4 linked regions of the Saccharomyces cerevisiae S288C genome follow. The gene in region 4 interacts genetically with the main gene of each other region. Each region holds a gene or a part of one and is shown on either strand. Other genes may lie near its edges. The genes, in order: ABD1, COX3, YGR054W and TIF1.

What was found.
Region 1: mutations in TIF1 (region 4) and ABD1 together harm fitness more than expected from each alone (negative genetic interaction), as found in Saccharomyces cerevisiae (2 studies listed by BioGRID).
Region 2: of TIF1 (region 4) and COX3, extra expression of one rescues a mutant of the other (dosage rescue), as found in Saccharomyces cerevisiae (one study listed by BioGRID).
Region 3: mutations in TIF1 (region 4) and YGR054W together harm fitness more than expected from each alone (negative genetic interaction), as found in Saccharomyces cerevisiae (2 studies listed by BioGRID).

The regions. Positions count from the first base shown.
Region 1 is NC_001134.8:687,815-696,271, reverse strand, and holds ABD1 (mRNA (guanine-N7)-methyltransferase), read left to right. Parts: upstream 1-4,578; coding exon 4,579-5,889; downstream 5,890-8,457. Other genes in the region: YBR238C (uncharacterized protein), read left to right, coding at 1-1,165; DEAD-box RNA helicase PRP5, read right to left, coding at 1,754-4,303; VHC1 (Vhc1p), read right to left, coding at 6,009-8,457. UniProt on the Saccharomyces cerevisiae protein: Responsible for methylating the 5'-cap structure of mRNAs.
Region 2 is NC_001224.1:74,901-82,999, forward strand, and holds COX3 (cytochrome c oxidase subunit 3), read left to right. Parts: upstream 1-4,312; coding exon 4,313-5,122; downstream 5,123-8,099. Other genes in the region: Q0255 (maturase-like protein), read left to right, coding at 1-722, 763-972, 1,004-1,084. UniProt on the Saccharomyces cerevisiae protein: Component of the cytochrome c oxidase, the last enzyme in the mitochondrial electron transport chain which drives oxidative phosphorylation.
Region 3 is NC_001139.9:592,387-601,711, reverse strand, and holds YGR054W (translation initiation factor 2A), read right to left. Parts: upstream 5,020-9,325; coding exon 3,091-5,019; downstream 1-3,090. Other genes in the region: RSC subunit protein RSC1, read right to left, coding at 1-51; MUP1 (Mup1p), read right to left, coding at 571-2,295; MCO32 (Mco32p), read left to right, coding at 5,875-6,726; protein kinase FMP48, read right to left, coding at 7,007-8,116; YGR050C (uncharacterized protein), read left to right, coding at 9,270-9,325. UniProt on the Saccharomyces cerevisiae protein: Functions in the early steps of protein synthesis of a small number of specific mRNAs. Acts by directing the binding of methionyl-tRNAi to 40S ribosomal subunits.
Region 4 is NC_001143.9:553,052-561,570, forward strand, and holds TIF1 (translation initiation factor eIF4A), read left to right. Parts: upstream 1-1,935; coding exon 1,936-3,123; downstream 3,124-8,519. Other genes in the region: glycogenin glucosyltransferase GLG1, read left to right, coding at 1-1,569; UTP30 (Utp30p), read left to right, coding at 3,467-4,291; mannosyltransferase KTR2, read left to right, coding at 4,626-5,903; transcription factor TFIIE subunit TFA2, read left to right, coding at 6,615-7,601; rRNA-processing protein LAS1, read right to left, coding at 7,738-8,519.

The sequences.
Region 1 (8,457 bases), on a different chromosome or scaffold from region 4:
TTCAGTTGGGATGATCAGAGCCTCTTTATCTGCTAGTGAAAATGACATGGCTCTCAAATTATTCCAAAAATTATGCCAAGAATCAACCGAAATGAAATACGGTTATTTGATAGAAACCCATCTTTCCTTCATTGGTGAATGTAAAGACTTGAATGTGGCTCAAACCTTTTTTGACAAGGCTTTAAATGATGAAATGCCATACAAGATAGACTTGCAAGTTTCCTACGTGAAATCCTTTTTAAGAAACATATGGAGCCAAACCCGTGATTTCAACCACATCTATCAAATCTGGTACAAGTCTTCTTTACATTATGGTAGAAACGTCAACCACGGTATTTCTTCATCTTTGAATGACACTTTTTTCGACATTTTTTTTGAAAATTATGCTGTGGACAAGATGCAAGGTTTTCAAACTTTACAAAATATTATTCAAACTTACAACAACATCAAGCATATAGATGAACCTTTCTTTAACATTATCTTGGCTAAATGCACTGTCTGGCATGACCGCAGTATTTTAGAATACATCGATAAGAGTTACGAGGCGTACCACATTCCAAAAACAATAGTCGCTTATAGAATCTTATTAAAGTCTATGGGATCTGTCGATGATGCTTCGAATGCAGAAATTCTCCAAAGATGGATGGATTTAATCCGCAAATCAGATGAAATTGGTCAAAGATTTATTGCCAACGCAGATTGGGCGGCCTTAAGAGATGCTACTGTAACATGGACCCAAAATGATAGAGATTCCAAGAAAAGTAACATGAACAGCACTCAAATAAGCAGAACCGCAACTCCTTCGCCATCCTTAACTCCAATGGATACTCCAGCACCAGAGCATTTGTTCAACAATCCTCAAAATCCAATGGACTTCTACTCTCATCCAGCATTGCAAGCAGCAACTGCTTCTGGTGCATTTGATGAATTTGCTGCGGAGGCTGCTTCTTCTTCCATACCAGTTGACGGCAGAATGGTTTTGTATTTGAAAATTGTTAAACGTTACTCTCCATATTGCCGTGATTCCAGACAACTAGCCAGATTAACAACAGGGACCGCTGTCAAATATTCCGTTTTGCAAGAAGTTTTGAACCAATTCCAAACTTTAATCGTTAACGATATTCCTATTCCTGAATTACATAATTTGAAGCCAACGTGTGTTTAAAGTTAATATCCTTCACTTTTCACCTTCTTTCTCTACAGAACAAAAAAAGAAAGAAGAGTAACAATTTCAAATTTATATTCCCTATGAATTGATGTGATAAACTTACCATTATTAATATTATTATTCGATTGTCAGTTTTTCCCTTCCTTATTTTTATCGTTATTTCATTATTTTTTATTTGTCATATCACATCTCAAATCAACTAAAAAACTATTATTATATTCTTCAAGCCTACCATTTTCTTGATAAATTTTTTTGAAGTTACTTTTATTCCATGTTTTGTTTTTATTTGCTTTTCTACTTTTATTTTCCCCTCTTAATTTTTTTTTAAAGCATTTACCTTTCATTATATCCTATGAATTCTCATTGTTTCTTTCCCACTTTTTTAAATTCCATTTTATTCGAATCGATAAAAATTTCAAGATTTTTTTCTACATCATATATTATATATTATTTTGTTTTTATTTTTCCTAATAATTCTCTTTTTTTTTTTTTATTATGATTGAATATGCTTTAAATTACCACCCTAAAAATTTCAGAACTAACTACGAAAGTATATAGCACCACGAGTGAGTTAAATTCTAAAAACTAGTATTTAGTACTCTTCAAAGACAAGCTTGCAGCCTTTACGACCCCCTCTTTAACTTTTTGCTCCAGCAATTCTATACTTAATTGTATGTCTTTCTCATCTTGGCCTTCGATCAATAAGTATAGTTTAGGCTCATCGTTTTCATTCTTTGGTTCCTTCCCTTCAGGGTAAAATTTACCCTTGTTAGTAATACTACATCCGGTTTCATGCTTGATAAATAATAAGGTTGTATTCTTTGTAGCCTCCCATCTTACAATCTGGGGTAAATCATTAATATAAACCTTGGCGTAAAAGATGATCGACCCGTCTGTAGACTCTTTGAATAGTTCATAATTGAGTCTCGGAATAAGCGCAGAAGACTCAGACACACTGTCATGCCCTTCGCGTGGATTGCTGATTTTCTTTTCCAAGTCATCGCTCCTCTTATCATTCTTTTTGAGCTCCAAATCTTTATTTTGAGCTTCCTCTCTTTTACTTTTGATATTTTCCAGTCCTTTGCCGCCGAACCCTTTCGACAACCTAAACTTACCCTTTTTCATACCGGATTCAAACTTGGCACTCATTTCCTGAAGTTCTTTTGCTTGCAGAGGGTCTAAAGCTTTTATTTCTTCATCGCGCATTGCCTTGCTCAAGATATAAGCACCTGACAGTTCATCATGCAATAGAAGAGTAATAGCAGTACCGGAGCGACTACCTCTGGCAGTTCTTCCAGTAGTATGAACATATTGCGCGAAAGTTTTGACGGCGTTATAGATAATAACCAACGACACTTCGGGAACATTTAAACCTCTTGAGAGAACCTCTGTACAGAGAAGAATACTGTTCTTTTCTCGTTTGAACTTTTCTAAGTTCATAAGCCTTTCTTGATATGGCTTACCTGCATGAATAGCACAGGTCACAATTCCAGCATTTAACAGCTTTTTTGAAATGAAGTCGCAAATATTCTGACTTGATACAAATATAATGGCTTTAGCATCAACTTCTTCAACATCGCTTGACTGTCCGTCATTTTCACTTTGAACCTCGTCAAAAAATTCACTGCGCTCATGGATAAGCTGCACCAGATTGTCAAATTTTTCATCTTCTGAATGGCATATTCTAAACTTTTGTTTTACGTTTTCATTAACCATTCCCTTTGAATTAATCGTAATAGATATTGGGGAATGCAAAACTCTTACGGCAAAACTGCGTAGTTTGTTCGGAAAAGTTGCACTAAATAGAACACACTGTTTATCCGGTCGAACAGTTTTCATGATTTGCGTTATTTGAGGTTCAAAACCTAAATCGAACAGCCTGTCTGCCTCATCCATTACTACGAACGTTATTCTTTTAGTACTAAGTAATTTCCCATCATTTAGTGTTAATATATCAATAAATCGTCCCGGTGTGGCAACAACAATCTCAGTGCCTCTTTTAAGATCAGTAATCTGCTTTTTCATTTCAGAACCTCCTGTACAGCATACTGATCTAATGGATGTATCTGCTTCTGTGAATTTAGTAACTTCTTCATGTATTTGTAAAGCTAGCTCTCTAGTTGGAGCCAGAATTAAACCCATGGGCCCTGTTTCATGTTTTGATAATGGCCGTTGAGCTTTTACTTGTCTTAGCAATGGTAAAAGATAGGAGATGGTCTTGCCGGAGCCAGTTTTTGATATTCCTATAACATCACGACCTGACATAATAGCGGGAAGAGCCTGGGATTGAATAGGCGTTAAGGAGCCAAAGTGCAACTTTTCTGTAATTAAAACCATGGTGTCCGTTGATAGTCCCAGTTGAGACCACTTTGTGACTGGTTTGGGGCAACCTGTTCCCTTTATTTTGATATTATCCAGACTAAGTCTAAGCTCCTCAACTTCCATCTCTGACATCGAGGAAACTGTTTCAGATTCTATATAAAAATTTTTTTGGAACGGCTCAAGCTCTTCTGGAGAGTAATAAATTTGCTTTACACGTTTTTTTGCTTTGAGTTTAGCAATTTTCGCTATATTAGAATTATCCGTATTATCTTCAACATCCTCATCGTCGGTTCCTCCAAGTTCAAACAATTGATCCTCTACATCAAGAATGTCGCCTCTGTCGTACATGCCTTTACTATTACTCATTTTCTCCTCCTTCAATGACGTCATAAACTCATCCAGTGGATCTTTTTCATTATCATGCTCTGGAGCTTTTTGAATGTGCTCCTTCGATCTAAAAGAAACTCCTATTTCAGAATCATCGTCATCACTGAAGTCGAAGGATATTTTCTTCTTTACCTTACTTCTCTTCGACTTTTTCTTCGAAGGCTTAACCGATACAGGTTCGTCAGATTTCCTAAATTCATTTTTTCTCTTCCGAAGCTCTTCTTTTACACGTTCCTGTCTTTCCGTAAACTTTTCAGTAGTCTGCTTACCTTCTAAACTGTTAGTAACAATGTCATTGCGTGAAGTTTGATGCTCTTTCTGAGCATCAAATTGTGCTTTTTTTTGTTTCCATTTTGCTAGTTTTTTCCTCCTTTCCTCCAATAAAGACTCCCTATTAATATTTTGCTTCGAATCAATAGTTTCCATACCTCAAATAAACCCAAGGCAACAGCGTTATGATTTCCCTTCTCGAATTATTTGGCGCTGTATTATATTAGAAAGAACTCTAATACCTTTAGTTTGGTCCATTGCTCTAAATGACTTTAATTAGTTTCATCTAATCCGGGTAATGGTAAATCAAGATATTTCAACATAAATTAGAAGATTTCTTATTTTAATCCTTTACATGTGAGACACTTTTCCGATTAATGTGACAACTACTACAACGTGGAGTCGTCCATTATCCGTCTTAGAAAAGTAGAATGTCAACCAAACCAGAGAAGCCAATATGGATGTCACAAGAAGACTATGACCGTCAGTACGGCTCAATTACTGGTGATGAATCGTCCACAGTCTCAAAAAAAGACTCCAAAGTTACTGCCAATGCGCCTGGTGATGGTAATGGATCATTACCAGTTTTGCAAAGCAGCTCTATCCTTACTTCTAAGGTGTCTGATCTACCCATTGAGGCAGAATCCGGGTTTAAAATCCAAAAGAGAAGACATGAAAGGTATGATCAAGAGGAAAGATTACGCAAACAGCGTGCTCAAAAATTGAGAGAAGAGCAACTAAAGAGACATGAAATAGAGATGACTGCAAATAGATCCATAAATGTTGACCAGATTGTCCGAGAGCACTATAATGAACGTACAATAATCGCCAATCGCGCTAAGAGGAATCTATCGCCTATTATTAAGCTTCGTAATTTTAACAATGCGATTAAGTATATGTTAATTGACAAATATACAAAACCTGGAGATGTCGTTTTAGAACTCGGATGTGGCAAAGGTGGTGATTTAAGAAAATATGGTGCTGCAGGTATTTCACAGTTTATTGGTATTGACATTTCCAATGCCTCTATCCAAGAAGCTCATAAGAGATACCGGTCCATGAGAAATTTGGACTACCAAGTTGTGCTAATTACTGGGGATTGCTTTGGCGAATCATTAGGTGTTGCAGTAGAGCCCTTCCCAGACTGTAGATTTCCGTGTGATATCGTTTCGACGCAATTTTGCTTGCATTATGCTTTTGAGACCGAAGAAAAAGCAAGGAGAGCTTTACTGAATGTCGCCAAATCACTCAAAATTGGTGGTCACTTTTTTGGCACGATACCAGATTCAGAATTCATTCGTTATAAACTGAATAAATTTCCCAAAGAAGTGGAAAAGCCATCTTGGGGAAACTCCATTTATAAAGTGACATTTGAGAATAATTCATACCAAAAGAATGATTATGAGTTCACATCGCCTTATGGTCAAATGTATACTTATTGGCTAGAAGATGCTATAGATAATGTTCCTGAATATGTTGTGCCATTCGAAACCTTAAGAAGTTTGGCTGATGAATACGGTTTGGAACTAGTATCGCAAATGCCTTTTAATAAATTTTTTGTCCAAGAAATTCCCAAATGGATTGAGAGGTTTTCGCCTAAAATGAGGGAAGGTTTACAAAGATCTGATGGTAGATATGGTGTTGAAGGGGATGAAAAGGAAGCGGCATCATATTTCTATACCATGTTTGCATTCCGTAAGGTAAAACAGTATATCGAACCGGAAAGCGTAAAGCCCAACTGAAATAAAAATGAATAGAAACAATAACCCTACTATAAAGCATCTGTATTTCGGCCGTATTACAAGACTTCTATATGTAGTAAATAAGTTCTGGGGAAATGCATAACGATATATGTGTTATTCTATAATGCAGTAGTTACTGTCATGGTTTGCGAATTGATTAACATGCATGGAGGTAAGCCCTCCAACCAAATATCCAAGTCCTCGACATATTGTAAACTTGCATCGTGATCTTCATGTGTTCCAAGAGCTGGAACTGGCAAGGTTGAAAAAATTAAATCCGAACTCTTTGACATTTGTGTCATCACATCATTCAGAACCAAATGTTGAGCAGTGCTGGGAAGATCATTGAAACCTAAATTTTGCATCGCTGTGACTAAACTATCTTTTGAACAACAAGGTGATAATTCGGGAAGAACCGGTTTCTTTAATTTGTTGCCGTTGCCAATACCGCTCCCAGTACCGTTCCCATTCGAAAGGTCAGGTTCGGCAATTGGGATCAGTGTCGGCTGTTCACCCGTGCCATCTTCCACGACTCTCGTCCTCGGCAAAGTATTACTCGAGAAAACGGGTCTTAACGACTGTGTTGACACATCGCTTTGTAAATTCTTTACGAGTAAATTTGTTCTGTCGGAACCGGTCTTCGATTTGGTCGTTAAGTCCTTACCTACTGAAATATTAGTCGATGCCGAGAAGGCATCACGAATTGACGTAAGATCTGTATCCAAATCGGAGTCCTCACTCTCGCATGGGGTATCAATGCGGTTAGTTGGCATTCTCGTATTCATTGTAAATGAGACACCCAATTTCTGAACCCCAGACGTATATTTTCTTGATTGTGTAAATTGCTTTGCTATCGTTTGAGGTTCAATAGTGGAAAACCTCCGCTTCGGTTTTAATGTATCACGAGCTTCAACCAAATCTTTCCACCATTCATTATCGGCCAATTTCGAGTTGACATAATCAAACACGATTGGGTCTCCCTTGACAATTGTGTTGTATACTCTGAATTGATCTAAAGATACTACCAAAACCTCTGCGTCAATTCTTAGAACCTGTAATAGCTTTTTCATTCGTTGAGTTTCGTTCGTTCTATGATATTCTTGTTCCACAAATAAAATAACTCGAAGCGAATGTGTGCGCTTCCATTCAGGAACAGTAACCAAAATGGCAGCTAATTGTAGAATCAGTGTATACGTATCAAAGTTAGTAGTGATAGCCGCAGGCTGGTCACCCTTTGCCTCAACTTTTCCGCACATTTGGATGGGATAAAGATCTATAGTTTTTTTTGGAAAGCAGCTGTCCCTTTTGTTCGGTATCTCTAAATTTTTGAATCCATGCGCTATGGCAATATTGGATTGCATCAGTGATAGATCTTCTACAATTTGAACCCATTGTTGTACATTAACTTTGGTTTCATTTTTACACTCATCCGTAGGCAATGGAACATTGATTTTGACATCAGAGCATGTACTACGTGGCACTGTAGCTTTTATTTCCACCTGTTTCTGAAGGTTATTTTGGCTGCGACTTTGTGGGATGTGCTTTCTATAACTTTCGAGGTCAAAAAAACCGACAACAGTAATGTTTGGTTTCATACCTCCAAGCCCGGAACCAATAAAAACATTCCTAATTCCCCATATAAGGGAGGGACCAGTCCCAACTTGGACAAAAGCCTTTATTGCTGCCATGTCTCTGATCTTCATCCAAGCTTTCTGCTGAGTTTTTAATTCATTTAGTTGCTTCGGAAAATCCGCAGTTACTGCAACATGGCCTAAAATATACAAACCACCTTTTTTCAAATGATTGCAAAACCTTATTAAGTTCCAGCTCGTCCTTGGATTATCTACAAACAGCAATATTTGAGGCCTCCAGTATTTAATATTGTCTTGACGTAGGCGAAGCAAATACTTTCTCACTTGATGATATATTAAACTTTGAGACACATCACCCCAAGACTTCGGTGGTGAAAAATAATGAATGAATAAAAATAGCAAAATCATAGCCAAAAACAAGACAGACGCTGAGATGCCATCAACTATTAACATCGCAACAACAGAAAGTAATGCGCCAATTGCTGTAGTATACCTGTTAAAGTATTTGAAAGAGGGCCTGAAATTGGGAGCAGAGGAAATACCTAATAGGAAGCACGCCAAATTCATGACCACAAACGTCATTAAGAATGTCATTGTGATAAATGTGGCGATTTTATTGACGTCTGAAAACAAACATAGCTGTGTTAGAATCCAAGTAAAAATCAATGAATATAACGGTGAATGAGCAAAAATCTCCAAACCAGGAATAATGTTATCCTTTGCAATTGCTTCTAATACATAAGCAGCACCGAGCATCCCCACTATGATGGAGAAAAGAGAAGTAGCCATTTCACCCATGAATATAACCCACTGAACGGAACTGATCGTCTGTATAATTTGTACTTCATCATATAACGATCTTCTGGGAATGGAACAACCCATGGAGAAGACAACAACGGCATAACAGATAAAAGTGAAAAGTAAACCCCATAAGGTACCCTTAGGAATTGATTTAGAGGGCTTTCTCAATTCACTT
Region 2 (8,099 bases), on a different chromosome or scaffold from region 4:
CTAATTTTGAAGAACTACTTAAAACAATTATATTAGTAAATTCACAAAAGAAATGGTTATATTCTAATATTGTAACTATTTTTGATAAGTATCCTTGTTTAACAATTAAATATTATAGTTATTATAAATGAAAAATAGCTATAATTAATAATTTAAATGGTATATCTTATAATAATAAAGATTTATTAAATATTAAAAATACAATTAATAATTATGAAGTTATACCTAATTTAAAAATTCCATATGATAAAATAAATGATTATTGAATTTTAGGTTTTATTGAAGCTGAAGGTTCATTTGATCTATCTCCAAAACGTAATATTTGTGGTTTTAATGTTTCACAACATAAACGTAGTATTAATACATTAAAAGCTATTAAATCTTATGTATTAAATAATTGAAAACCAATTGATAATACACCATTATTAATTAAAAATAAATTATTAAAAGATTGAGATTCATCTATTAAATTAACTAAACCTGATAAAAATGGAGTTATTAAATTAGAATTTAATAGAATAGATTTTTTATATTATGTTATTTTACCTAAATTATATTCATTAAAATGATATAGTCGTAAAGAAATTGATTTCCAATTATGAAAAACACTTATAGAAATCTATATAAAAGGTTTACATAATACACTTAAAGGTTCTAATTTATTAAAATTAATTAATAATAATATTAATAAAAAAAGATATTATTCTAATTATAATATTTCTCCTTTCGGGGTTCCGGCTCCCGTGGCCGGGCCCCGGAACTAAAAATATTATTGATGATGTATTAAATATAAATCTTATCTATAATTATAAATTACCATATCGTATAAATAGTGATATTCAACGTTTAAATTCTATAAATAATAATAATACTAAATTTATTAATGTTGGAGTATTTGTTTATGATTTAAATAATACATTAATTATAACATTTACTGGTTATAGACCAGCAGCTCTTTACTTTAATTGTTCTCCTTTTCGGGGTCCCGACTGGGGCCGGGACTAAACATGAAATTGCTAAATATATTAAAAATGGTAATGTATTTATAAATAAATATATTTTAAAAAATATTTTATTAGATTAATTATTATTTTTACTTCTTCTTAAAATTAAAAAAGGAGACTTTTTTATATTTATATAAATTATATATAAATTATTCTTTTATTATAAATATATAAAATTATTTTCTTTTAATTATTTTTATAATTAATTAATTCTTCATGGCTATAGCCATAACTTTTAATAATATTCTTTTATTCTTTATTATTATATATATATATATTTATTATTTATTATTATAGAATTTATATTTATAAAAATATTAATATTTTATTTAAAATAAATAATGATTAATTTATAAAATATATATTAATTAAGTTTCGGGTCCCGGCTACGGGACCCGGAACCCCCGAGAGGAGTTATTATATTTATAATTAAATCTTTAAATAATATATCTTAAATTATTATATTGATATTAATATTATATTGATATTAATATTAAATATATATTTAATATTTAGCTTATTATTTTATAAAATTATATTTATATATTATAATATAATTAAATATATTATAAATTTAATAATTTAATAAAAATATTCTTTTTATAATTATTATAATAATTAAATAAATAATAATAATAAGAATAATTAATGTATAATTTTTTTATAAATATTATATATTTTTATATTAATAGTTCCGGGGCCCGGCCACGGGAGCCGGAACCCCGAAAGGAGAAATATTAATAAAATAAAATAAAATTATAATATAATTAAATTATAAGAATTATATTTACTCCTTTTATAATTTATATTTATAATATAATATAATATAAAATAAATATAATATAATATAAAATAAATATAATGTAATAGGTATTCACTCCTCTTTGGGGTTCCGATCCCCCATACGGATACGGATACGGATACGAATACGGATACGGATACGGATACGGGGGGCCGTCCCCCAGAACTTAATATTATATCTTAAATAATTAATATAAATATAATATATTATTTAATAATAATAATAAATAAATAAATAAATAAATAAATAAATTAAATAAATAATAATATTATTATAATTACTTTTTAATAAATAATATTAATATAATATTATATTAGTATTATAAATAGACTTTTTATTATTTTATATATAATATAGTCCGGCCCGCCCCCGCGGGGCGGACCCCGAAGGAGTAATATATTATATAATTATTATTTTTAATTATAAATAAAATATAATTATTATTTATTATATAATTTATATAAATATATATATATATTTATTATATATATAAATATAAATATAAATATAATAATTAATAATATTAAAGTTTTATATATATTAATATATTATAAAAGGTTTATATATATATATAATAAGATAAGTAATAAATTAATTAATTAATAATATAAAAATATATATTATATATTATGTTTTATTTATATATATATATATATTATGTATTATTATATAAATATATATATATATTATATTATAAGTAATAATAAGTATTATATTATATATAGCTTTTATAGCTTAGTGGTAAAGCGATAAATTGAAGATTTATTTACATGTAGTTCGATTCTCATTAAGGGCAATAATAATAATATATTAATTAATAATTAATTTATAATAAATATATTATAATAATTAATATATATATATATAATATATTTAATACAAAGAAAATATATATTATATCTCTTATTTATTTATTTATTAATATTTTAATAAATATAATATTATAAAAAAAAGTTTATATATTTAGTTCCGGGGCCCGGCCACGGGAGCCGGAACCCCGGTAGGAGAAATATAAATATAAATATAAATATAATATAAGTTTGGTATTCATTTAATTATATTATTTAATTAAAAATATTCTAAATAAGAATAAATATCAATAAAGGAGTTATAAATATATATATATATTAATATATATATAAAAATATATATTATTATTAGTTCCCGCTTTGCGGGAACCCCGTAAGGAGTGAGGGACCCCATGGGAACCGAACCCCTATTTAAGAAGGAGTTTTATTATAATAAAATTTATATATATTTAATATATAATTATAAAAATATTATATAATAAATAATAAATAATTATTAATAATAAATAAATATAATAATAATATTATAATAAATTTATAAATGATTATAATAAATTTATATTAATTTTTTATTTTGTAAATACTAAGATTTGAACTTAGATAATATGCACCTAAAAACATACATTTTACCATTAAATTATATTTACCTTATTAATTATATAAAATTTATTAAATATATAATATATTAATTATATAAAAATTATTAAATAAATATATAATATATTATATATAATTTATAATATATATATTATAAATATTATTATATATAAAATATAATATACTACTTATAAAAATATATATATATATATAAATATATATATAAATAAATATTTTATATATTAAATTAAATAATTATTAATAAATTTAATTATAAAGTATAATTTTCAATAGGAATATTTATAAGATTATAATAATTATATGAATTATTATAATTATATATATATAAATAAATAAAATAATAATTATAATAATTAATAAGAGTTTTGGATATATATCTGTGGAGTATATATTTTATAAAGGAGATTAGCTTAATTGGTATAGCATTCGTTTTACACACGAAAGATTATAGGTTCGAACCCTATATTTCCTAAATCTAGATATAATATTATATCTATCTTAATATAATAATATTTATTTATTAAATAAAAAAAAAATAAATAATATTAATTAATATAAGATTCTTTTTTAATTATAATAATAAATAAATAAAAAGAAGATATTATCAATGATTTATATTAATAATAAATATAAATAATAAAAAATATATATAATATAATATAATAAATATATTTCCTTTAATATTAATAAATTAATAATAATAATAATAATAATAATAAAATATTTAAATAAATTATATTCAATACAAATTAATTATTTATATTATTAATAATTGAATAAATAATCCGGTCGAAAGAGATATTAATTCGATTATATTATTTATTTAATTATATTTAATTTAAATATATAAATTAATATATATATATTGAATTATATATAAATTTATTTTATAATTTTATAAATAATATATTATTATAAATATTTAATATAATTTATATTATTATTAAATAAAAGATTTATTAAATTAATATTATTATTTAATTTTATTATATAGTTTAAGGGATAATATTTTATTAATATTTTTTTTATTTATTTATTTAATTATATTATATATATAATATATATATAACAATAAATTTATGACACATTTAGAAAGAAGTAGACATCAACAACATCCATTTCATATGGTTATGCCTTCACCATGACCTATTGTAGTATCATTTGCATTATTATCATTAGCATTATCACTAGCATTAACAATGCATGGTTATATTGGTAATATGAATATGGTATATTTAGCATTATTTGTATTATTAACAAGTTCTATTTTATGATTTAGAGATATTGTAGCTGAAGCTACATATTTAGGTGATCATACTATAGCAGTAAGAAAAGGTATTAATTTAGGTTTCTTAATGTTTGTATTATCTGAAGTATTAATCTTTGCTGGTTTATTCTGAGCTTATTTCCATTCAGCTATGAGTCCTGATGTACTATTAGGTGCATGTTGACCACCCGTAGGTATTGAAGCTGTACAACCTACCGAATTACCTTTATTAAATACTATTATCTTATTATCTTCTGGTGCTACTGTAACTTATAGTCATCATGCCTTAATCGCAGGTAATAGAAATAAAGCCTTATCAGGTTTATTAATTACATTCTGATTAATTGTTATTTTTGTTACTTGTCAATATATTGAATATACTAATGCTGCATTCACTATCTCTGATGGTGTTTATGGTTCAGTATTCTATGCTGGTACAGGATTACATTTCTTACATATGGTAATGTTAGCAGCTATGTTAGGTGTTAATTATTGAAGAATGAGAAATTATCATTTAACAGCTGGACATCATGTTGGATATGAAACAACTATTATTTATCTACATGTTTTAGATGTTATCTGATTATTTTTATACGTAGTCTTCTACTGATGAGGAGTCTAAGGCTATAGAATTATATATCTAAATGATTAATATATATATTATTAATAATTAACAATAATTAATATATTATAATTTATATATATATATTTTATATTATTATAATAATATTCTTACAAATATAATTATTATATATTATTCCTTCAAAACTCCTAACGGGGTTCCCGCGAAGCGGGAACTAATAATAATATAATCATTATACTCTTTTTTCATTTACCTTTTATAAAGATAATTAATAAATTTATTTAATATTTATAAAAAAAAAAATATAATATTAATATAATATAATATAATAATGTAATTATTTATATTTTTATATTCCTTCGAGGTCACCGCCTCACCTCCAGCGGGACTTTTTTAATATGATATAATATAATATAAATATTATTAATTTAACTAATATATAAATTCATATATATATATATATTATTAATATTATTTTATAAAAAATATTTTTTATTTGATTATTATTAAATATTATATAGTTCCGGGGCCCGGCCACGGGAGCCGGAACCCCGAAAGGAGAAATATTAATATATTATAAATATACTATTTATGTAATTATTTTTTGAAGTGAGCACCTATTTTATATATATTTTATATATATTTTATTATATTTTATTAAAAATAGGTGTGAACCTCCATGAGAGAGGAATGAATACCTATTTTATAAAGTATATTTTATATTCTATATATTATAAATATGAACCAAAAAAAGGAGTTTAAAATTTAATTAAATTTAATTAATTGAATTTCTTTATTATTATTATCATAATTATTAAACCCTTTATTAATATAATAATATATTATTTATTATCAAAATACCTACCCTTTTTATAATTTATATCTTTAATAATATAATTAAATATAAAATGTTTATTAAATATTATATAAAAATAAAAATAAAAATATATATATATATATAAATGATAAATAATAAGGAATTCACACTTATATAAATTTAAATATAAAGTCCCAAAAGAAGTATTCATTAAATAAATTATCATTAATTAATTATAATAAACTTATTTAATATTATTAAAGATTAATTTATAATAATAATTATTATTATTATTATTAATATTAATAAAATATATAAATAATTAAATAGTTCATATATTAAAAAGAATTAGAATTAAACTTTAATAAGTGTATTTAATATATAGAATATTAATAGAATATTTATTCTATTTATATATATATTTATATATATATATATTAAATAATATTATTTATATTATATTTTATATATATATTATTAATATAAAAAGTATATTATATGTATTATATATATTATATATTATATATTTAATAATATATTACTCCTTTGGGGTGGGTCCGCCCCACGGGGCGGGCCGGACTATTATAATTAATAATTTTATAAAGTTCCGGGGCCCGGCCACGGGAGCCGGAACCCCGAAAGGAGAATAAATAATTATATATCTTCTTCTTAATTAAATTAAATTAAATTAAATTAAATTAAATTAAATTAAATTAAAAAGGGGTTCGGTCCCCCTCCCTAACGGGAGGGGGTCCCTCACTCATTCAAACTATAATTTAATATATTATGATATTATTTATAATTTATAATATAATGTATAATATTATATTATAAATATTATATAAAAATAAAATGATATATATAATAATAATAATAATAATAATAAAAAAATAGAAAAGAATAATTTTTATTATTTTAGTATATATAAGAATTTAATAAGTTATATTATTGCGGACACCGTTACGCGGAGTGGGGACTATTATATTTTACCTATATATATTAATATTATTATAATTTCCTTCTTTAAAAGAAAAAAGGAATTCGAGAACTTATTATTATATTAATATATTAATAATAAATAATAATAAATAATAAAAAAGTAAATAATTATAAATTATATAAAAATATAATTTTATTATTAAGAAAGGAGTTTAAATATAAAATATAATATTATCATTAAGTTCTAATAAAGGTATATAATGAAGATCTATTAGAACCTAAAAAGAATATTAATATATCTATTATAAAATAATAATAATAAATATAAATATAAAAATAAATTGTAATATTTATAAATAATAATAAAAAATAAATAAGGAATATATTAATTATTAATAATAAATAAATTATATTAAAATATAATATTATTATTAAATTAAAGAATTATATTAAATATATTTATTAAAATTTTATAAATAAGTTAATATTTTATTAAATAATATTTATAAATAATAAAAAAAAATAAGTATATAATTATTAATATATTAATTTATTATGTTATATATTTATATATTTCAAATATATAAGTAATAGGGGGAGGGGGTGGGTGATAATAACCAGAATATTAAATAAATACAGAGCACACATTTGTTAATATTTAATAATATAATCAATAAATATATTATAATAATATAATATAATTAATAATAGATATAAAGTATAAACAATATAATAAATTATATAAAATAAATATAAATTAAAAATAATAACCAAATAATTAATATAATAAATGATAAACAAGAAGATATCCGGGTCCCAATAATAATTATTATTGAAAATAATAATTGGGACCCCCACAATAGAATAAAAAATAAAAAGAATTAATAATATATAAATAATATAAAATATATTATATATATATATAATATATATATATATATAATAAAAAAAAATATATAATATAATATATATATATAAAATAATAAATTATATATATATATATAAAATAATAAAAAATAATAATCATATGAATTTTATAAATATAATTATTATTAATAATAATAATAATAATAATAAAGTCCGGTCCGCCCCGCGGAGGGGGCGGACCCCCGAAGGAGTGCGGGACCCCGTGGGAACCGCATCCCTTTTTATTCTTAATTAAGAAGGAGATAATAATTTATAAAAATTAATATTTATTTTATGTAATATTAATATTAATATTAATATAATATAATATAATATAATACGGATTAAATATTA
Region 3 (9,325 bases), on a different chromosome or scaffold from region 4:
GTATTGTGTTTTGAGTAGCTTCTGTAAAAACCCATTATCTTGCTCCACCATGCTTGAAATATAATTTTTTTTATCTCTGTTTTGTAGCTAGGGCACTTCACAGATTTTCCCTTCGCTAATACCACACTGTTCCGCCAACTCAGCTTAATTTCAGTTGTAACTCAATTGGGCCTTTGATTAATAAAAAAAAAAGCTTTCCCGAGACAACAATCACTATTGACGGAAAGAGGGTAAGGGAGCAATAAAGAACTATATAAAACGTTAGACAAACGATTTTATAGAGCGCTTATCTGTGTTTATAGCGTTGCTGATAGATTTAGTTAATTCCAATTTGAATCTATCTCATCAGCAATTCATGATATTGCTTTTTCTTAGTATGCTATTTTGATTTCGCGCAATAGTAGGTATAAAAATTGAAAAAATACGAAACGGAATAGCATCTTAAACTATTAAATGGCAGAAATTATAATGAGGTTTGGTACCTATATATTTTGTATAAAGAAAATGCAATTATAAGAATGTTCATACGTGATTATAAGAATCGAGATGAGATGGTAAGTACCTTTTTGGTTACAGCGATTTTTCTTGTTCACTTTTGTAATGTTCGATTATATTCGTTTCAATAACGCCGTCTTCTTGTGTATCGACATCGCCAATAGTGTCATCATAAACTTTGGCAATTTTGACTCTCCAGAACCCATCTTCACCAAGCACATCCTTGGAAACCAATTTGTAGTGGCCCCATCTTGGCAATAATTGGGCCCAAACAACGTAGTAAACACCACCAAAGAAGAAAATACCCCAAGCAATTACACAGTGGATCCAGTATGGCATGCTTGAATACACCGACTCGCCATTTGAAGGTGGAACGTAAGGAGCAATAATCAGGTATAAATTGGATAATGTGAAAAATCCCGTAACAAAAACACCGGCCTTAATTGGTGGGTTCCATTCAATTTTACCTTGTCTACGTTGCCAGTATATCCAAAGCAAACCCGCGCTAATGGCAAAATTAATAATATTCATTGGGTAGGAAATTAAATTTTGGACTAGCAAATATGCATCACCTGGAGGTGGGGCTAAAATGGTTACTGTACAAACAATAAAATGTTGAAACAAACCAACCATTGGGGAGTTGAATGGCTTAGAAGAGGCAAAGAAATTAGAAAAGGGCAACACACCTTCACGTCCTAGTTGTTGAATAATTCTACCCTGAGAAAAAATGACAGAAAGAACATTTCCTAAGGCACTCAACCCGACCAGTGCGGCTGCTGCTCTCTTGGCTTGGCCGCCAAACACAATATCGAAGAAGTCAGCAGCTAAAATCAATTTTGAAGAAATTAACTTATCTTTTGGAACCACAGCGAAGTAAGCAATGTTCACAAAAATGTAGATTATAGCCAAGAAGACCATCGATGTAGGACCAGCAATCTTCAAAGTTCTCACAGGGTTCTTAACTTCACCAAGTGCATAGTTAACATTGGAGTAACCGACAAACGACCAAATAACACTATATAAGGCGTTAACAATACCATAAGCAGTGGCGGTTTCAGTACCTTCAAAAGCATTACGAAAGTTGTGAGATTGATAACCATCTTTGAGACCACCGCCAAGGGCAACCCAACCGGTAATAGAAATGAAGAGGACAATACCAATCTTGAAAATACCTAAAATGTTTTGCAAATATAGACCAATCTTGACATTCAGAGAATTAATTAGGAATGCAAAAAAAACGACGGCCACACCAATACCTCTTTGATTCCATTTGGTCACTTCAGTATCAGCAGCAGTTAAAAACATAATAGCTGTATTGATGGAATTACCAGCAGCCCAACCTAGGAAGAAAATATACGCAGCATACATACAGGTAATGAAGAATTTTGGTTTCCTGAAAATAGCCTCCAGGTAGTTTTTTTCACCACCATTTTTCGGTATAGCCGTACCGAATTCCATGTATACATATAACCCAGAAATGGCAATAATGGCGCCAACTGCCCACATAATTAATGCAAGCCCCACAGACCCACATAGTGTGTAAATGGTCGAGGAAACGGCGAAAACACCGGTACCAAGCATTCTATTACAGATAAGCCCAATACACGACAAAATACCTAACTGCTTTTCACCTTGGTCCAATTCTGTAGCAAATTGCTGGCCTGCCTCAAAATCGGAGGCACCGTTGTCAGCATCCACTGTCGAGTTACTTACTTCCTTTTTTGTAGTAGAAGAAGAAAATTGATAGTTCTCCTTGTTGAAGACATTCAACTGTGACAGAAACGTTCTTCCTTCCGACATTGCTCCGCCTTTGTTTTCTCTTCTCTTGTCTTTAAAGATTTCTACAGAATGTGAAACTAATCCAAAAACAAAATATGATGAACAGCGGAAAAGTTTGTGTGAGAATCATCCTTATATATATATACTGTATGTAATCTTACATCACCATATGAAAATAACGGGCTGACTCAAGAAATTCACCGCCAAGTAGGAGGAACCACATTTGTAATGCAAGACTGTGTTATGTGTTACCATGGTGTGCAATAACTGCGAAGGTAGCACCGCTTGAGTCAACTGTGGCAGTTTATTAGATGCCACTCGAGTGTGGTGAACGGCAATTCCACAGTCTAACTTTTCAGTTGGCGCCGTGCCATCTCCTGGCTGCTAGGCCGATCTGTTATACAAAACCCTACACGGCGCCGTTTCTTTTTTTTTTTTCTTTTTCTGTGGCAAAGCGGCGACAGCGACGCTAAAAAAAACTGTGGTGGCGGATGCAGCGCCGGCTTACGGAGCCGAAGTGACACTCCATATTCATTTATTGCCTGGCGGTATCGTGGCATACATTGTAAGATGCGGCTGGTGGCAATCCGCCAAGAAGAGACGTAAAAATAAGGAAAATGCTCACTAATTATGTATGTATCAATTACTATTTGATGTTAAAAAAATATGTGGAAAAGTACAATAAAACAAGGGAAAAAAAGAAAGGGGGGAGGTTGGCGTAATTCTCCTGGGAAACAGTAAAAAACAATTCAAAGTAGTATTATTTGACGTTGTTAATATTTACACAGTTGTATGGATACATCAGTTTCTTCTAGTTTATTCATCCTTCCAACCCAACTTTTCCAAATCTTTCAACACTTTTTCTTCAGTTTGAATTTTTAGAACTTGCGTATCTTCTAGTTTGTCACCGACGGCCTGTCTTTCCTTCAAGGTTTCAATAGCCCTTAATTTCTTTAGTAAAGATCTTATTTTCTTCTCCTCTGGAGAAGTTTCTTTATTGTTTGTGGGGGCATTTGTGGAGGCAGGAGCAGATGGGGCCGGAGTAGAATCAGGTGACGTTTCACTTGACTTTTTATTGGCTCTTCTTCTCCTGTTCTTGGTGTTGGCGTCCTTGTTGGCACTCATGCCCGGAACTAGCCCTGGGATGGTCTTCTTTGCTGCACCAGGAGGAACTCCGGGGACAATACGTCCACCGCCTGTTCTTCTTGCGTGAGGTGGTTTATAAGCGCCTCCAGCTTTGGCCTTAGATCCGTTTCCATTGGAGCTTGCTTCTCTGCTTGGGTGTTGACTTATGTACTCTTGAACGCTAGAATGTATTTGCAATTCTGATTTATTGGATATTTTAGGATCAAGTGAAGATGTGGTCGAATCAGGTAGCGGTTCCCAGTTATTAATGATATGGTTCTCGAAAAATGCTTCGTCTTTGTTTTCCAAAGTTTTGTAATTACATGGTGACCTCCAGTCTACCTTCAAAAGCTCCTTGAACTCTTTAACAAATACTAAAGAGCCTGATACATGCCATATTTTAACGCCGTTATCCACTCTCAATCTTGGTGAAGTGGTAGCTGTCATGATAAATTCTCCACCCGGTGACCATTTGCAGACAGAAGTGTTGGTAGCGTCAAATTTACTCACACACTTGAATTTGTCGAGACGATCTAGGATTTCCACGGAGCCCTGTAAATTACCAAACCCGGCGATAAGAATGTAATGACCAGAGGGAGAGAAAAGCATGGTATTTTTGGCTTGTTGAGGTAATGAATGGACAACATTACCTCTTAAGTCAAAAAAGGAAATGGTTGCTGGCATGTAACCAGCGATGACACCGAATTGCCTTGAAGTTGGCGACCAAGTGAAATCGTGGACAGGTCCAGTGGTTAAAGAAACACGTACAGAGTTACCACCCAAAGTCCCGTTGACACCTTGGAAAGACAGTAAGTATAGTGTGTTTTCACCATAATATGATTTGTTTGAGGAATCAAAATCAGTAATAGCTAAACATAAAATAGCATTACCTAATGGATTCCATTTCAATTGGCAGGAATCAGCTTTAAAGAAAGTTTTGGAGGCAATTTTCTTGGTGATTTTACCTTCAGAGAGGGCCCATATGATTAATTGAGCCGGTTTACCACCCTTTTCTGGTGTGAAAGTACAAATTGTTGGATGTTCAGCTGGAGAGATTAGGTAGGTGGTGAAATGTTGGGACGTTTCATCATCAGACAAGACAGCAAACGGAGATTGGAAGTCGAAATTGTCGGCATTAGCGGAGCTTAATTTAACAATCTTCAAGTCGTGTTTAAAAAGTCTTAGCCCATAATTGTCTAATTTGGAGAATTGTAAAAACCAACCGCTTTGGGATTTGGCTTGATATTCGTAAGCAGGGACTATATCCTCCGAAACGCAATCTTTCTTAAATGGTTTATTCAAATACCAAACTTTAACGTTCTTGTGATTTGGGTCTTGTATAGACGCTCTCTCCCAAGTGCTTAAGTAGTTACCTGCTGGAGAGAAGTGTAGGTCATAGACGTCGGACAACTTCATTGTTAATAGAACGTTATCCAAACATGGACCTGTAAAAACTTTGACGTTCTCCTTCGTAGATAAAGCCAAAAATCTGCCACATGGCGATAAAACCGAGGAAATGACAGGGAAATCCTTGGAGTTTGTGTTGGATTGCTCAAAAGTTGGGTAGCTTTGGAAGAGCTCTATATCCTGAGAGGTTTTCAGGAAAAACTGAGATGACATAATGTTTAGGTGTTATTGAACCTGACTGTTTGTTGTAGTACTATGTTTTTTTATCGAGATGCAATGGATAGTTTAAACACAACACGTCTCAATCAACACTAAAGAAAGTTATGATTCGGTAATCTATAGGTTGCTTCTACCGTAAAGAATTCTCGCTATGTCTAGTCGTCTGGATAGATCGAGGAAAAGGAATCTTCATTGAATAACGTACACTGAAAATAAATCGCTATGAAGCTGAAATTTCATTGATGGACATGAAGAAAGCGAAGTGAAAAAAAGGAAGAAAAAGAAAGTATTGAGGAACATTCTGCGGTCGGGTAATAATATCGTACAGTATGACAGCGGCAATTTTTAATAATATTTCTGCTCACTAATAAAGTAAAGAATATAAAGAAAGGACCTTAATCTAAGATAGATGTTACTTTTTCATCTTGCAGTTTTAACACATAGAACCGAGTCTAAACATATTGAAATATTTCGATTTCTTTTGTACGAGTGCTATAAAAATGGGAAAGAACTAAAAAAAATAGGACACAACATTAACTGCCTGAGTTTCTTGAGGAAAATATTAAAAGAAATATTAGTTAAATAAATAGATTTGGTGAGATGTATTTCTATACACTGAAAGACATTCATACGCATCTCATGATGAGTCGAGCGCCTTGCGTTAAGAAGGCGCGTAGTTACGGTTACGAAAAAAATGAATAGAATACAATGTAGAGAGCGCCCTTAAAAGGCCCATAAAGAGGGATGACAGGTATGAGCCATAAAGCTGCAAGCCTCTACGGAAAACGATACATCACAACCAAGGAAAGATAGACAGTTTATATTCATAGATAATAGGGGGAAAGACTTATGTTACTAAAGTGTGTTTGCAGAGCCGGCATAATATCTATCAAAGGAATCTTTCCTCGATGGTACTCCAATTCTCAAAAAGTGGCCAATTTGGGGCAAATAACAGATTATTTAGTGGTTAAAGGTGTTCCCAATTTGTTACAAAAAATGTTCAAGGAGTCAGTGTTGGCGGATAACGTTGTTTTTAGACTATTTCCAACATCGCATCCATATATTCCAGTGTTACATGGAAAATCAAAATACATGGCTTCTTTGAATGCAATGCGAATGATAGTACGAAAGTTTATCTTGGGCGATGAATGTCGCTTGCATATAAGTTCAGTAAAGACTCTAACATCGACATCGCATGATGAAGAAGTTAAATCTGCTCTTCAGAGTTATAATACCATAACATGTAATGACAAATTGGTGATCAAATGGCAAAGCTGCATACCGGAAGACCATTGCAAGATTACCAAATTAGAAATTAATGACAGATTGAAAGAGGAGAAACGAGGCAATGGTGCAGGCGGTTCATTTTCAATGAGGTCGGTACCAGTCATAGACTACATTTTACATCCTACAGCCAATAATTTGAACCAAAGTGTTATCTCTGAGTACCTTGAAAATGCAGCTGAAAGGTCAATGGAAAATAAGGTCAACGAAACTCAAAATTCCAAAGAAGATGAGAAGAAGAAAAATGATGGCGACGGTAAAAGAAGTAAAAAAAAGAGATTATCCCGGCTGATTAAGGGAACATTCATATTCGAATTTAACGAAGAAAATTCGAAAATTCTGGTTCATACCATTGAAGATGTTGAACTGATCCATTACGAGAAGAAAATTGCCACTCGCGGTGCATTTGCATGTTAATACGATATACAAGAATTAGATAGCATCTTTATTTGTAAATAATAAACACACCATCATAAACATCACCATCAACCTTGCACAGGAGAAAAAAGGAATAAAAAGGATAAATTGATTATGATTATTTTTTAAAAAAATGAATATGTAATATTATTTTATGTCGATTAGGTAGTATGTAATACTGAAATTATGCCAAAGTTCCTAACTAAAATTGGATAAGCAGGGGATAAAAAGTCAGATCAAGGAAAATGAGGCGAAACTTTCAAAAGGTCTTTTTTACTTCTTATTTTCCATCTTGAATTAGGCAAGGTTTCTCAAAATTTTTCAATTGGAACTTTGCTGGTACTGTTTCCGTGTTCACAGACCACTGTTCCCAAAACAGATCAATCTTATTTTGGTACGAGAAGCAGCTGTCCATCGAGCTATCTTTGTTCCATGCAGAATCAACTTCATTGATGAAATTCTCCATCGACCTCTCTTTAGCGTTCGATACCTTTAATAAGGTATCAACCATAATCTTGCACAAATGGAAGACATCATAAATGTCGGGTAGATCTTGCCATATGTACTGCCTCGTATGCTGCAGGCTAACGTGTAGGTCTTCTTCATCATTGTAACCACAGGAGAGCCTTGGTACTACGTATTTCCTGTAAATGAATGCAAATGGATCTTTTTCAAACTCATCGAAATTTTTTAGATGCTGAACCTTCTTTGATTTGGAGACTCTAAAAAGGCAATCGCCGAACATCAGATAAAATATGGTGGCACCCAATGACCAATAGTCAGCTTGGTATGTGTTATACAATGGAGCCGATGACCGATCGAAATTCTTCTTAAAACAAGAGTTACTAACGCGGCCAGAGAAAGTTTCTGGCGCCCTGTAATTATCGGTACCAATCTGGAAGTCGTTAGATTTAGGGGATTGGATAGCGTGACCCCAGTCTGCCAACTTGATGTCACCATTTATCGTTAGCAAAATATTTTCTGGTTTGATATCACGATGAGCAATACCCAAGCTGTGAGCAAAGCTGATTGCTGAGCACAGTTGTTTGATTATCTTTTGCATATCAATTTGAATCAAAGATGGAGACGACGGGCTACCTTGACTCTTAGCAATATCTAGAAAGTCATAAAGATCACCACATTCGCAGTATTCTAGCACCATGATGTAGTACGAGTCATCCGTGTAAAAGTCGAGCATCGAACAGATGTTGGGGTGAGGATTACAAGAACTCAAAATCTTCATTACATCATACTCGTTCTTCATGTTGGCTTCTGAAGTTTTGTATTTAGGAGTAATCTTTAAAGCGACGTAGCGGTTATGTGTAGTACTCCATGCTTTATAAACTGTGCTAAATGTTCCTGATTGTATAGATCTTAGTTTTGTATACATTTTTGCTTTTTATTATTCGGTATATGCTGATAATGATGTGCTTATTTAAATGATTGCGTATACGAGTGAGAATTTGATTCGGAGGGTATGAGAGTCGATCTTGAGTCCTATGTTATATGCTTTTTGTCAGTAACGGGTTATTTAATGCTAAGAATAGTTATTATAAAAGGGAAATTTTTTTGTATTAAGAATAGTCATCACTTACATGTGTATATTATATATATATATATATATGTATTGTACTCGTATTATTATTCTTTGGGGAAAGTATTAGTAGGTAGATGCAACTAAGCTCCGATTTTTCCAAAATTAAGTTGTCCCTTATTGCATGGTCCCCTTAATTATCCTTCCTTTATTGTATGTAACATGAAGCTGCATTTTTGTTCTCAGGCAGCATCATCGTTCCCTTCACCTAACCCTTCTAACTTCCTTTTACCTGTTGCAAGCTGTCTCATACCCGCGCTGAAAAGGCTGAGAACTGGGTATTGTCCCAATATTACGCTCGGCTTTTCTTTTCAAAAACTTTGTATTCCAGATACTTCCATGTGCAATTTCCCTAGTGCTCCCTGTACCAAGCCATCGGAGAGGAGATGCCTTCTAGAATTCAAAGCACGTAAGGGGTACAAAAATCGGAACGGGCCGAAGGCCGAAAAGAGACGGCCGTACGTGAGAGCACATGCAAAGTGGTGAACGGGACGTTACGGAGAATTACGGAACCTCTCAACAGAAGATGCGCCAATAGTCCTTCCGAACTAGCTCCACGGGAGGGGTATGAAGAGCAAGCTTGTTTACGCAGCCTCACCACCGCACCGAAAGACCCTCACGACAGAAATGGAGCGCCTTTAATGACGTTCGTCCGCTGCGGGCCAGAACAGCACAGTTTTGCTTCCCCGTTTCTTTTCCACTATTTCGTCACCCGCTCGAGGTGGCTCGCCCGCTCGGAGGCAAGCTGCACATTCATCGAACACGGAGAGGCACGGGCGAGAGAAAAAAAAGCCTATTGACCTAAACGGATGTCATAATGAAAAGAAGGAATCCGGTTTTCCTGGGCATGACTAAGGTAGCACGACTCAACTGGGCCAGATCGGTTGCTTCTTCCGATATACATGCATTAGATTAAGCCAAAGTAAAATCAAAAGAAAATTTAGCGGATATGAAAACCAATCTAATCTCCTCGTTTGCTTTCCGACCGCATGTAAGGTTCGGCTT
Region 4 (8,519 bases):
AGACCTGAATTATCCTTTGCCTTAATCAAAGCAAGACTATGGGAATTAACTCAGTTCGAACAAGTTCTTTACTTGGATTCCGACACTTTACCTCTGAATAAAGAATTTTTAAAGTTGTTTGACATTATGTCTAAACAAACCACGTCACAAGTGGGTGCTATTGCTGATATCGGCTGGCCTGATATGTTCAATAGCGGTGTCATGATGCTAATACCGGATGCTGATACTGCATCCGTTTTACAAAATTATATTTTTGAAAACACTTCAATTGATGGTTCTGACCAGGGCATTTTAAACCAGTTCTTCAATCAAAATTGTTGCACTGATGAGCTAGTTAAAGACAGTTTCTCTCGAGAATGGGTACAGTTATCATTTACGTATAACGTAACTATTCCTAATTTAGGCTACCAATCTTCACCTGCTATGAATTACTTTAAACCTAGCATTAAGTTGATTCATTTCATTGGGAAACACAAGCCATGGTCATTGTGGTCCCAAAAGAATTTCATTAAAAACGAGTATCATGATCAATGGAATGAGGTATACGAGGAATTTAAGGAAGAACATCAATTAAATAACGAAGTTTCGAAGCCAAAGATTAGTGATTCCGATAAAACTGAGACTCCTGAAACGATAACCCCAGTGGATGCCCCTCCATCGAACGAACCCACTACGAATCAAGAGATCGACACAATTAGTACAGTGGAAGAAAACGTGGACAACCAGAACGCCGAGCCTGTTCCTAACTCGGATCATAGCCCTGCTCCTAACCCTGTCCCATTGGATTTTACCAAGTGGTTAACAACCTTTATTAACAAAGATCACTTGACTAATCAGCCAGTAAATGAAAGCAGAGAATATTCGAAAGAGAATGATAACAATATAATCAATAGCAGTTCAAACCGCGACCAAGAAAGTCCTCCAAATAGTACTCAGGAACTAAACAGCTCTTATAGCGTTGTGAGTACTCAAGCTGATAGCGATGAGCACCAAAATGCAGAAGAGGAGGATAGTACGACAGATAACGCTTCAAATTCTGGAGAAGAAAGCCACCTCGATGATATAAGCACGGCCGCTTCTTCCAATAACAATGTAAGTAATCAACCAGATGGCAAAAATTTTAGCAATTCTAAAGAAAATAATATCAGTGTCGAATCTAGCCCTTCAAATCCAGAACAGAAAAGGTCAACTGACAATATACAAAAACCAAGTGTTTCTACTAATGACTTACCAGACGACGTAGAACCACATACCTCTGTTGATGACAATATACAGTACTTAGAAAAAGACAAGGAAGGTTATGAAGAATTTCTTCCGGACGTGTACGAGTCAAATGCAATCGATAACGAAGAAGAATTTTTTGATGACGATGCAAGAGATGCTACCGAAGGAGAAACGAAGACGAGTGCAGTTGCAGATAAACAGGAGGATATGAAACTTACAGCAGAGGAAACCAACCAACCGCAACAAGAAATGCCCAACTTCAAATTTGACTGGGAGGACTCTGATTATCTATCCAAAGTAGAGAGGTGTTTCCCTGATGATATTTTTGAGTATGCAGTAGAGTAAACTTCCACGCACATATTAGGAAAATTAAAAGACATATCTATGTAAAGACCTTTTCGACTATACAAAAATGCATAACTATTCTATATACATTCAAACTCGAAATTTACTTTAAAGGTTTATCAGCAACAACATCCGATGCTTGCTGTTTATCTTTTCTCACCTCACAACGTTTATAGTGACTGAAAAATTTTTGCATTCTCACCTCGTCTATTGAATGATGTGCTAAGAACTTGAGCTAACATCACAGAACAAAGGTATGAATATACGCAGCCCTGACATTTGTAGATTTTTTATTTGGTCTCTAGTCTTTTCTTTTCTTATTTTATAACAAATTCGTTAAACGGCCTCCTTCTAATTATATACAAGATGTCTGAAGGTATTACTGATATTGAAGAATCCCAAATTCAAACCAACTATGACAAGGTTGTCTACAAGTTCGATGATATGGAATTGGACGAAAACTTGTTAAGAGGTGTTTTCGGTTACGGTTTCGAAGAACCATCTGCCATTCAACAACGTGCCATCATGCCTATTATTGAAGGTCACGATGTCTTGGCTCAAGCTCAATCTGGTACTGGTAAGACCGGTACCTTTTCCATTGCTGCTTTGCAAAGAATTGACACCTCTGTCAAGGCTCCTCAAGCTTTGATGTTGGCTCCAACTAGAGAATTGGCTTTGCAAATCCAAAAGGTTGTCATGGCTTTGGCTTTCCACATGGACATCAAGGTCCACGCTTGTATCGGTGGTACTTCCTTTGTTGAAGACGCTGAAGGTTTGAGAGATGCTCAAATCGTCGTTGGTACTCCAGGTCGTGTTTTTGACAACATCCAAAGACGTAGATTCAGAACTGACAAGATCAAGATGTTCATCTTAGATGAAGCTGATGAAATGTTGTCTTCTGGTTTCAAGGAACAAATCTACCAAATTTTCACCTTACTTCCACCAACCACTCAAGTTGTTCTATTGTCCGCCACCATGCCAAATGACGTCTTGGAAGTTACCACCAAATTTATGAGAAACCCAGTTAGAATTTTGGTTAAGAAGGATGAATTGACTTTGGAAGGTATCAAACAATTCTACGTTAATGTTGAAGAAGAAGAATACAAATACGAGTGTTTGACCGATTTATACGACTCTATCTCCGTTACTCAAGCTGTCATCTTCTGTAACACCAGAAGAAAGGTCGAAGAATTGACCACTAAGTTAAGAAACGACAAATTTACCGTTTCTGCCATCTACTCTGATTTACCACAACAAGAAAGAGACACCATCATGAAGGAATTCAGAAGTGGTTCTTCCAGAATTTTGATCTCCACTGATTTGTTGGCTAGAGGTATCGATGTCCAACAAGTTTCTTTGGTTATTAACTACGACTTACCAGCTAACAAAGAAAACTATATTCACAGAATCGGTAGAGGTGGTCGTTTCGGTAGAAAGGGTGTTGCCATCAACTTTGTTACTAACGAAGACGTTGGCGCTATGAGAGAACTAGAAAAGTTCTACTCCACTCAAATTGAAGAATTGCCATCCGACATCGCTACTTTGTTGAACTAAGGGAGACAAAAACTTCTTAAAAAAGTATCTTGTGAGGCTATCTTGATAACGTAACATATATTTCTAAAAAGTTATATATGCTTTTTGTATTTAATTTGTTTTTCTTTTTACATTCCTATTATTCTTCAAAGTCCAAAAGACTCTCGGCACGAAGGTTGAAATACCCTATACTAATTGTTTGCTTTGTCTTTTTGTATATATCCGAACGTATCTATCTGAAATTTTTCAAATTTATAAAAAATAATATATATAAAAGGAAAAAAAAAAAAATCGATGCCCTACTAATAGAGATTGGAGCTGAAAAGAAAAAGTGTACATCAAACGCTATATCTCGAGGTTTGGGATGGTTGAGTCAAATGATATTATAAAAAGTGGGCTGGCAGAGAAAGCACTAAAGGCTCTAATTTTACAATGTGAAGAGAACCCATCTTTAAAAAATGATAAGGACATACACATAATCATCAACACGGGCAAAAAAATGGGCATAAACAGGGACAACATCCCCCGTATTATTCCATTAACAAAGTACAAGCTATTTAAACCAAGGGACCTAAACATATTACTCATTACCAAGGATCCCTCTGCCTTGTATAGAGAAACTTTGACGAAAGACGAGCATACGTCGGAATTATTCAAGGAAATTATAAGTGTCAAGAACTTGAGACGTAGATTCAAAGGGAGTAAACTGACCCAACTTTATAAAGATTTTGACTTGGTCGTTGCCGATTACAGAGTTCACCACTTACTTCCGGAGGTTCTTGGTAGCAGATTTTATCACGGTAGTAAAAAATTGCCATACATGATCCGCATGTCGAAAGAAGTAAAATTGAAGCGTCAACAAATGGTCGAAAAATGTGACCCCATTTACGTGAGAGCACAATTGAGAAGTATATGTAAGAATACCTCATACATTCCCAATAATGACAACTGCTTAAGCGTCAGGGTCGGTTATATTCAAAAACACTCCATACCAGAAATTTTGCAAAACATCCAAGATACAATAAACTTTCTCACTGATAAAAGTAAGAGACCGCAAGGCGGCGTCATTAAAGGAGGAATAATATCTATATTTGTCAAGACCAGTAACAGTACTAGTTTGCCTATATATCAGTTTTCAGAGGCTAGAGAAAATCAGAAAAATGAAGATCTGAGTGATATTAAATTGTAAAATTAAAGCATCATCTTTTAAATACGGTATTTAAACACTCCCAATGAAAAAGCGTGATTTTGTCTAACTAATTATAGCATTAATAAAGTGTTTTAAACTTTAATTCCTTTCAAGAATTTGCAAGATTATAGAAATTTAGTAAGCGAAAAAAAAAAAGAAAAAAAAAAGAACAGACACCCTATAAAAATAGAATAAACATAATAAGCCACCATTTGCCTGTCTGATGATATTCTTGATTCTTTATATCTCTTCAGGTATGTGACACCTATACATGCAACGCTTTTTTTGCGTTTTTTCTATACAATAGTTGTTTATTTAAAAGCGTAGGAGCTTCATGCAAATCTGCAAGGTATTTCTTACACAGGTTAAAAAACTACTTTTTGTTAGTCTTCTATTTTGCTTGATAGCTCAAACATGTTGGCTTGCACTTGTACCATATCAGAGACAGCTGAGCCTAGATTCGTATTTTTTTAGAAGATCTCGAGAAGTTTCATCGAGATATGATTTTACAAGGAGGCGACATATGAATCAGACGCTGAAGCTATCTAGCAACACTTATAATGATGAACCACTAAACAAGACCAAGGGAATAAAAAATCAAAGAGAAAATGCTACATTGTTAATGCTTGTGCGTAATTGGGAACTTTCGGGGGCACTCCGTTCCATGAGATCACTAGAAGACCGTTTCAATAAAAACTACCAGTATGACTGGACATTTCTTAATGATGTCCCATTTGATCAAGAGTTCATCGAAGCCACCACAGCCATGGCTAGTGGTAGAACGCAATACGCTTTAATCCCTGCGGAGGACTGGAACAGGCCATCTTGGATCAACGAAACTCTATTTGAAGAGGCTTTACAATTAATGGAGGAAAAAAATATCTTGTACGGTGGGTCAAAGTCATATAGAAATATGTGCCGATTTAATTCTGGATTTTTCTTTAGACAAAAGATATTAGATCCGTACGATTTTTATTTCAGAGTTGAGCCAGATGTAGAGTATTTTTGCGATTTTCCCTACGATCCATTCAAGGTGATGAGGCAGAACAATAAGAAATATGGCTTTGTGATAACTATGTATGAATACGAAGATACAATTCCGAGCCTATGGGAAGCTGTAGAAGAATATCTCGAAGAAACAGAGTCAGCAGATATTGACATGGAAAGCAACGCTTTCGGGTTCGTATCAAATTTCGACTTCATCGGTAAATCTTTTGGTGTCATCGATAGTAACAGCGGCTATAATTTATGTCATTTTTGGACAAATTTTGAAATTGGCGATTTGAACTTTTTCAGAAGTGAGAAATACATTAGATTTTTCGAGTACTTGGATTCAAAGGGCGGTTTTTACTATGAAAGGTGGGGAGATGCACCAGTTCATTCGATTGCTGCCTCACTTCTTTTGAAAAAAGACGAAATCATCCATTTTGATGAATTAGGCTATAAGCATATGCCTTTTGGCACGTGTCCATCTGCATACTACCTGAGACTTCAACAAAGATGTCTTTGTGATAGCAATCACCCAGACAATATTGATCTCAATGTCATCAGCTGCCTGAGAAGATGGTGGAAGGACGGCAGCGGTAAATACTTCCTCAAACACGATTCATAGCGAGAAAAGCGTGTATCCGCATACTATAAATACGTATATATAACAAAGTAACCATCAAGAAAGATGTTCCATACCTCAGGTCATCACCATTTCATGGGTCGCTTAACCGAAAATATCAGAAGCAACCTCTAACGGCGATGGTTTTAAAGATGGATTACCTCAGCACCAACAGTTACACTATTCGGAACCGAAGATTTATCTACGATACTCATTATCCTTTCTCTATCTCACCCTGAAATAATTTATTAAAAATAAACTATGCCAAAGAAGAGAAAAGAGAAAAATTTAAAAAAAACGAGAGCCATTGCAACAGTTTTGGAAGTAAGAATAGGTTGAAAATTAGTCAAAAAGACAAATCCGGCTCCTATAAACCATCAAACAATAGGCTCCCTAAAGCATCACAAATTGTTATGCTTTCTTTTAAGAGAAATGTTTTTTAAAGCATCAAAGGTCCAGGGCAAGAAAAATTCTTTCTGGTAGCAAATGCTATAGTTCACGGCTTTTATAGTCAAAATGTTATATGCGAGAAGAAAAAGAAAAGCGCGAGCTTACTTCGGGTAAGAAGTTCACTTACGAATCAGGGCAAAAGAGCTAATAAGAAGTGAACTAGTTACATAACCGTGTGCTCTGTAGAACACGAGAAAGCTGTTACACAGAACTGTTTTATACCAAGTAGTTCGTTCGATTTGGAAAAGAGAGTAGTCTTTTGCGATGAGTAAAAACAGGGACCCTCTACTGGCTAATTTGAACGCTTTCAAAAGCAAAGTGAAGTCTGCCCCGGTGATCGCACCCGCTAAAGTTGGACAGAAGAAGACCAATGACACAGTGATTACTATAGATGGAAACACTAGGAAGAGGACGGCCTCCGAACGTGCGCAAGAAAACACTTTGAACTCTGCGAAAAATCCTGTGTTAGTGGATATCAAGAAAGAAGCTGGGAGCAATAGCTCTAATGCTATTTCATTAGATGACGACGATGACGACGAAGATTTTGGTAGCTCTCCTTCAAAAAAAGTAAGGCCTGGCTCTATTGCTGCAGCCGCTTTACAAGCAAATCAAACAGATATTTCCAAGAGTCACGATTCTTCAAAGTTGCTTTGGGCGACTGAATACATTCAAAAGAAAGGTAAGCCCGTTTTGGTGAATGAGTTATTGGACTACTTGTCAATGAAAAAAGATGACAAGGTTATTGAGCTTTTAAAAAAATTAGATAGAATAGAGTTTGACCCCAAGAAGGGGACTTTCAAATACCTTTCCACCTACGATGTCCATTCCCCTTCGGAACTGCTGAAGTTGTTACGTTCACAAGTAACATTCAAAGGTATTTCCTGCAAAGACTTGAAAGACGGTTGGCCACAATGCGATGAAACGATTAACCAACTGGAGGAAGACAGCAAAATTTTGGTGTTAAGAACTAAAAAGGATAAAACTCCAAGATACGTTTGGTATAACAGCGGTGGTAACTTGAAATGTATTGACGAGGAGTTTGTTAAAATGTGGGAAAATGTGCAATTACCGCAATTTGCAGAATTGCCAAGAAAGCTGCAAGATTTAGGTCTAAAGCCTGCTAGTGTCGATCCTGCTACTATCAAAAGACAAACAAAGAGAGTTGAAGTTAAAAAGAAGAGACAAAGAAAGGGTAAGATTACTAACACTCATATGACCGGTATCTTGAAAGATTATTCCCATAGAGTATGAGGTTGTTTTGATTAAATCATTTTCGTTTGCATATTAGGTTAAAGAGACTGTGATTATATATACATGCACGTTAGGGTGCAGCATACAACTCAGCTTTATAGTCTACAACGTATTTATAACGAGCATTGGAAACAGGTTACAGGACACCAAAGGGTTTGGGTTTCCAATTTTGAACCCTTGACCAATTTTTTACTGGTGTAGCTCTGTTCTCCTCTTGTTTATTTTTTTTACCTACTGTTCCGAAACTGCTCATTCTCTGTTTCAAAGACGCCAAATCGCCTAGTATATCATTGGTATCAGCCTTTAATGCCGGACTCACTTCCTTCTTCAATGGAACGGAATCTTTTTCCGCAGGAATAAAATCATACAGCTTTATTTCACCTTCATTAAACCTTAATGATAAATTGTCTATGTTTTCCTTCAGTTTTGCCTCGATTTCCACTGTGCTATCAATTTGTTTTCTCCGTTTTTTGTTTCTCCATGAGTTACCAGTAATTTTTTCAGTCTCTAGTTTGGCCAGCATAGATTGGCAAAAATACAATATCAAGTATGACGCATTTTCATCAATAAGTTTCTCCCAATTTTGCCATTTATTTTTAAAATTTTTATTGTTAAGGTTATTTATAATAACATCTAACAGCCTTTTTTGTAGTTCTTTCCAGGCATTGAATTTCCTTTTTAAAATTGTCGTTATATTACTATCATCTTGTTGGGTTCTGTAATTCCTAGCTACCCACTCAATGACCTTCCAATCAAAATTGTTCAAATTAAGCATTAAAACTTTGAGTAAAAGTGGGTCATAATTGTTAAAAAATTTCTCAAGAACCACATTGTGATAAATGGATAATTTCCAAAGTTCTTGCCATTGACGCAAATTTTCCCTGATCATAGTTTCTGATGAACTTGCGTGTGAACTTT